Tribolium castaneum: one gene and its partner. The protein of the gene in region 2 interacts with the protein of the main gene of each other region in a biochemical or structural test. Links are inferred from orthologs where the notes say so. Each region holds a gene or a part of one and is shown on either strand. Other genes may lie near its edges.

What was found. The genes of interacting proteins can lie anywhere in the genome.
Region 1: the proteins of exd (region 2) and Cx are reported together in a solved structure, tested with the Drosophila melanogaster proteins (2 studies listed by BioGRID, with this or other methods). The link is inferred for Tribolium castaneum from reciprocal best matches to the Drosophila melanogaster genes exd and Scr.

What each region holds. Positions count from the first base shown.
Region 1 is NC_087397.1:6,806,522-6,810,280, forward strand, and holds the start of Cx (cephalothorax), read right to left. Parts: upstream 2,354-3,759; 5' UTR 2,121-2,353; coding exon 1,487-2,120; intron 1-1,486. UniProt on the Drosophila melanogaster protein: Sequence-specific transcription factor which is part of a developmental regulatory system that provides cells with specific positional identities on the anterior-posterior axis.
Region 2 is NC_087400.1:5,271,091-5,274,452, reverse strand, and holds exd (extradenticle), read left to right. Parts: upstream 1-1,342; 5' UTR 1,343-1,346; coding exon 1,347-2,432; 3' UTR 2,433-2,750; downstream 2,751-3,362. Other genes in the region: pre-mRNA-processing factor 17, read left to right, coding at 34-211. UniProt on the Drosophila melanogaster protein: Transcription factor which acts with the selector homeodomain proteins altering the regulation of downstream target genes such as wingless (wg), teashirt (tsh) and decapentaplegic (dpp), thus affecting segmental identity.

The sequences.
Region 1 (3,759 bases), on a different chromosome or scaffold from region 2:
GGAAAAAATGTTCTATTGCAGTTGGAGTTTATGAAGAAAGAAACAATTTTTTTATTAATTTAAACAAAAAAAATGCTAGCGAGTATTTAAATGCATCTAAGCATAAAAATATAGTAAAACATGTATAAAAACTCATTTATTCTTCGACACTTTCAAAATTTACGGTTTTTCTCCTGTGTAAGGAAGTTTTGACAACCCTTTAGCATTTCTTAATACAATTTTTTTTAACAAATTTAAAGCAATTTTAAGCGTTGTTCTGTCTAATTAGAAGAATAAAACGTTGTATTTAACTCATTTTCGTGTAAATCGGTTCATTTATTTCATCTCGGGGATAATAAGCTACTCGTTTTCACTCGTGGTGTAATAATCCACTGGTTTTCACTCGTGGTTTAATAATCCACTCGTGAAATAAATAACTAATTAAAAAATTATCGGTTACTGTGGTTTAGCTTGCTACAGCCGTGCTCTATTTTGGGCAATCAAATGTTCTGAAGTTATTATATTTTTATATTACCTAGAAGAGAAAATTTTGATTTTCGAGTGTAAAAAGCAAAAAACGTTTATCGTGAAACGGTTTATTTTACACTTACATTTACATTTCATTATTATTAACAAAGAAAAGTAAATATTGTTTCGTTAAAATTGCTTTAAAGGAATCTCGGAGTTTGGCTCCTAATCTTGGAGAGACGTACTTCTGTGTAGAACTGAATATGTGCTAATAAAAAAATCGTTTTTTAACAGCACTAGTGGAGAATTATTAAGAGCATGATAACATGATAGAATAAAATAAGAATAAGTTTATAAGACTTTTCTTTCAAAATTTACTATTCTAGTTTCTTCTTGGAAAAGTTGTGTTAAGTCAATTATGTTTCTAATCAGATAGGAATAAAATAAATCATGATTAGGTTAGAATAATAATTAATCATTCTTGGACGTTATGTAACGATACAATTTTAGATAATCGTGGGCAACGGTTTCAGAAGAAATAATTATCAAATCGTTTAAACAGCTTGATATGATTTTAATGATTTTTGTCAACAGTTTTAGTAGGTCGCTAGTTGCGTTATGAACATTTTTTTTGTTTTTTTTTTGTGGCAGGATCTAGATCTAAGTATCATTTCTCGTGTGTGCTCCTTTCTTTTAAGAATTTGAATCAGATTGGTGCAACCGTTCCACAAAACCCTTTGTAAAAAGTAAAAACACATTGTTAATTATAGATGGGTTTGTGTTGTGGTCTCGTTCGTTTTATTAGTATCCGTTGCAGCAGTGTCAAGTTTTGCAGGGGCGTAAGGCATTTTTCATGCGATATTCATGCCTGCGGACTCTCCACTATGTTATTATCTCATTCGTTCGTAATTGGATAGATGCGTTTACATCTAAATCAAGTCGCAACGAATCGCGGCTCCACAAGTGGTTCTTGAAACATTTAAAAGAATCGTATTTATGGCCCACTGGAGACACGTTTGATTTACGTCATATCACTTACTTTGGCCGAGATGAACTCTCTTCATCCAGGGGTAGATCTGAGGCGGGTTGCTCGATTGGCCGCTCTTGGAGTTGTTGTTGTTGGTGCCGGCTTTTTCGGTACTAGAGGTAGAACTAGTGCTAGAAGCCGGCGAGGATAAGTTTTGCGATGCCGTGGAGGTCGCGGGTTTGCCTGGTGGCGAAGTGCTGACCGACAGCGGGGACGTCAGTCCCGAGCTCTTCGTCGCGTTGCTGTTACTGGGGGTTGAAAGCGGCGGAGTACTCCTTGGAGGAGCTCCGTTCGTGCTCAGATCTTGCGGGGAGGCGACTCCTGTGGAGGAGGTCGAATCGGCGTACTTGCAACTGGCCGAAGGGTGGGTCTGGGTGTTGGGGCTCTGCAGGTGGGTCGAGGCCAGCCTCTGCGGCTGCAGCTGGGTGTAGTCGCCCATGGTGGGCTGCAGGCCGTGGCCCGGCGCCGGGGCCGCGTACGGGTGCTGCGGGTACTGGGGGGCCACCTGCGGGGGCGAGTAGCATGCTGGGGGGTAGGTGGAGTTCGCGTTGGGGTTGTAATAGTCTGTCCCGGGACTGCTCTGCTGGTCGCGGGCCTGCTGGCCGTAGCACTGGGCCAAGGAGTTGACGAACTGGTAGGAGCTCATTGTGGCATTCACGCACTGGGTCCGAAAGGGCACTATCACTGCTTCAGGTACCACCGAATGACACCGCGTCAAGTACCATCGACCACATCACGTGCTGGTTTATGGGTAAGTGATGGACATTCGCGTCGAGACGGTTGCGTAGCGGCGCCACGACTGCCCAATACCACACGTTGATTGGGTTTAGTAGATGCGAGCCGAACATGCGGGAAGGAGGACACCGAAAGGACCGAGACGATGCGCAGCCGAGTGCGGGATAAACAGAGATGGGCCGTTTCGAGGGGGGATTTCACACGGAACGGCGTGGCGAGACGCCACTGGCGCAGGCGCGGGGAGGAGTCTCGGAGGGGCAAGGGGCGGGACAACGACTTGAAAATTGATAATTTCGGAATTGTTTAAGATTTGACGCTCAGCTGAGCAGTGTGTGGTTCACGGATTCCGGTAGCAGGGACGTAATGAATCATTCAGACTTATTTATTAGGGAGGTGAGCGAAGTGCCGCAGGGTCAAGTGTAGGTACACGGCACAGGGGCACGAGGCCTGATTTTACAACCATTCCAATAGGACTTTAGAAAAAAAATATTTGGACATGGCTTTGATGTGACAAATCCGATCAATAATAACGAGTTTTTGCCAAGCCATCAATCTTATTCCCATTCACATTGAGCGCAAAATAACAACCAACTAGCAAAAATAAATATTTCAAGTAATTTAAACAATTCTTATCAAGTGTTCCGTACAACTCTATTTGGCTAAAATTTTCCGGAATGTAATCGACCAAATAAAACACATGAAATGCAAATCAAGCTGGTTTCACTAAATAGTCATTTTATTTATGTCAACACGCACTAGCTACAACTTAATTTTTACTACCATTTATGTAGTTACAACTTTATCAAATTAGCGACGTTGACCTCAAAAAGCTTTTAATAAGTGAGTGTTGAAAGTTACGATTTATACCTAACTATAATAAAAATTTATCAAAATCCTTCGAAAAAATAATATTGCTTCATTGTAAAAATAAAGACAATAAAAACAATTATTGTACAAATCTTAGTAGAACTAACTTGGAGAGTTAGTGATGAAAAAATGATTTAGTAGGTCTATATTTTTAAATAACTCTACTTGTAGGTTGCTTTATGTCGAATTGCACCTGTCTTAGTATAAGTTAAACAGTTAAAAAGTATGTAAAAATTTTGAAAGATAAATACTTAGGTTGCGTAAAAATTAAATTAATTTCAGTTTTTCTGGTTTTACCCAACTTAGGTATATGTGCATGGAATTTTTCTATCACCATTCTCTCAATTTTAATAAATCCCAATTATTTTTATACCTATGGAAATATGCCAACCCTTTGATCTAAATTTGTCATTTGTAATCTAAGCTTTCTGATAACTTCATCTCAAAAAACTGAGGTAAGACTATACCTACCGATGTGGTAACAGTAGTGTGTGGTGATATAACTTTAGCATACAATTTTTTTTGCACGTAGGTACAGTCACGATCAAAAAGAATGACACCCCTAAGAAGTTATATATGTAAGTACATATAGATATCTAATAACGTGTAAAAAATGTAAATAAAACCAAAATTTTTATTTTGGATTTTTTTATTCATTGTAGATTGTTAGTAGCTTTTACATA
Region 2 (3,362 bases):
AACAGTTGTAGGTTTTAACAATTTTTTTTGTAGTTATTTAGTGTCGGGTGACGCCGATGGTAAGTGCTACATCTGGGATTGGAAAACTACAAAGTTGTATAAGAAGTGGAAAGCGCACGATAATGTCTGTATCAGTGTGCTGTGGCATCCGCACGAGCCGAGCAAGTTAGTGACAGCAGGCTGGGATGGACTTATCAAATACTGGGATTAAGTTTCCAAGAAGGTGTAAATTTTAAGCGAAATAAAATATTTTAATTAGAAGATACGTCCTTTCGCTATGGTCACGTGATCGTTATAACCAATCAACGTAAGCGATTTCGGTCACCTGACTTATGTCTACGGTGAAACGTCACTCATTTTGCGTTTTTAAATGCCTACGTCTAATTTTGACAGCGAGATTTTAATTCCGCCGTTAAAGCATTTAAAAGATTAGAAAAAAATTAGATAAAAAATGATGTTTTTGCAATTGGAAAAAAATAAAGAATGATTATTAGTATTTTATTTAATAGTAATTAAATTTTCTAACATCAGCATTTGCTTTTTTTTCAAAAAATCTTTGTTCTCTAAATCGTCCTTTTAATTATTAATTTTTTTAATTAATTAATTTTTTCTCAAACTGTATTTTTTCGTCTTTGCAACAATCACACATTAAATTCACTTTCAAAAGACAATAAGTTGCTACTTTCGTTCGTTCCTATGTTGATTTCTAAATTTTCTAGATAATTTAAATGGAGAATTAAATACTTTAATGGGACTTTAATTTTTAAATATATATTTAAAATGATGAAACGGGGTGTTCAGTATTATAACTAATTAAGTCCGTTAGACGAGTTTTGAGTTACACAGGTCCGGACTTTGCTGGTATTTTGCAAATTTGTTTTATGGTGGAGTGGCATAGTTTTTTGGTAATGACTAAAAGACAACGTAGATTGTGAAATAACGTAATTAGAGTATGATTTTACAGCATACGTTTCTATTTTCTATATTTTTCTCAAAATTGACACAACTTTTGGTCATTTACTTCAGATTTTTTGCTGTTGAATGACTGTTAGATGCTGATTTCAAGAGAATCAACGATTTTTTCTATCATTAGTTCTCTGGTCCTCCCTAGTTTGTGAATGAATCCAAGTATAAACAACTCTCGCTTTAGTAAACCACTTTTTCCAATCCGTGCCAAAATTTGAATATCATCCAAAGGCCATAAATCTCCCCCACCCGCCCCTCAAAATCCATAAAATTCCTGCTTTCGCGCATGCGCCCCTACTACCCATCCCGCAAACATCCTCCCGCTTTGTTTACGTATGCTGTCAAGCGCGTCCATTTCCTAGTGCCGTTTGCGTGCCCCCATGGACGACCCCGGCAGAATGATGGGCCACACCGGCGGCGGCCTGATGCCCCCTCAGCCGTACATGAACGCCCAGGACGCGCCCGCGGGCGGCGAGAACGAGCCCCGCAAGCAGGACATCGGTGAGATCCTCCAGCAGATCATGAACATCACCGACCAGAGCCTCGACGAGGCCCAAGCGCGCAAACACACCCTCAACTGCCACCGCATGAAGCCGGCCCTGTTCTCCGTGCTGTGCGAAATCAAGGAGAAGACGGTGCTCAGCCTGCGGAACACGCAGGAGGAGGAGCCCCCCGACCCCCAGCTGATGCGGCTCGACAACATGCTGATCGCCGAGGGGGTGGCGGGCCCCGAGAAGGGCGGCGGCGCGGGGGCCGCCGCCTCGGGCTCCGCCGCCGCCCAGGCCGGCCAGCCCGACAACGCCATCGAGCACAGCGACTACAGGGCCAAACTCGCCCAAATCCGCCAAATCTACCACCAAGAACTGGAAAAGTACGAACAGGCGTGCAATGAGTTCACCACACACGTTATGAACTTGCTGCGGGAGCAGTCCCGGACTCGCCCAATCACCCCGAAGGAAATCGAGCGGATGGTGCAAATCATACACAAGAAATTCTCCTCGATTCAGATGCAGCTGAAACAGTCGACTTGCGAGGCTGTTATGATCCTCAGATCGCGGTTTTTGGACGCCAGAAGGAAACGCCGGAATTTCAGCAAGCAGGCGTCGGAAATTCTAAACGAGTATTTTTACTCGCATTTGTCTAATCCCTACCCCAGTGAGGAGGCGAAGGAAGAGTTGGCTAGGAAATGCGGGATCACAGTGAGCCAGGTGTCGAACTGGTTCGGGAACAAACGAATCAGGTACAAGAAGAACATCGGGAAGGCGCAGGAAGAGGCCAATTTGTACGCGGCGAAGAAGGCGGCAGGGGCGTCGCCCTACAGCGGCACCCCGACCCCCATGATGTCCCCAGCGCCCCCGCAGGACTCCATGGGCTACTCCATGGGGTCGGCCTACGACCAGAGCTCAGCCTATGACGCCAGTAGCTGTGGTTACGACCCAATGCACGCACAGGAACTGTCGCCCTAATCAAACCCTAGCTTAATTTTAAGGAAATACAGTTGTATACTAACCCATGTATACCGAATTTTGTATCGTGTACAGTGTGTTTCTGGGTTCAATTGCTTCAAGTTTTACTTTTCTGATAGTATAGGACGTACTTGCAATATATTTTTAGGTTGATTGTTTTAGGAGTTAAGGCGAGTTTTTCTTCAGTATTTTTTGTATATTTACTTATTTTTATCGATAAGGAGCAGCTGGGTGAGAGAACTTTGCTTTAACGCCGAGGTTTTTCCATCGAAAATGAAATTACAGTGCTTACTATTTAAATAAATAACTGTAGTAACACGTGGATCATTTTTTCAACATACATGAAATAATCACAGAAAATCCTACATGGAAATAAAGGGCGTAGAGAGACTCACGTGAATAAAAGCCCCATAAAAATTAACTCACTAAAAAAAAACAATCACTGTCATTGTGGATAGATTTATAAAATAATTACTCAGATGTCAATAAAAGTTTTAGATTTTTTAGACGAAGCGTCGTTAATTTAATTCGCAATTAAATGCGTGATTAACTGGACACGTGACCAAATTAAAGAAATGTGATTGGTGATTTAAGAGGTATGCAGAAATAACTTTCTAGGATAAAATTTAGTTCCTCTGTAAACCGAGATTCTAGGGGTGCAATTTCAGTTGGGACACCCTGTATAGAGACCAGAGGGGGAACGTAATACCCACTTATTACATAAATCACAACTTATCGTGAGCTTTTTTCTTTTTGGTATATGGGTATTTTTATCTGTGTGGGCTTTAAATTTTTCTGCTCAGACCCCACAATTAAATTTGCCGCTGTGACACTTCCAGTTATACCAACACTACACCGAGTTGGGCCCGTCGATATACGCTTATTTTGGCTTAAATTTTATTATTTTTGCTTTGATAACCACTTTGCGTG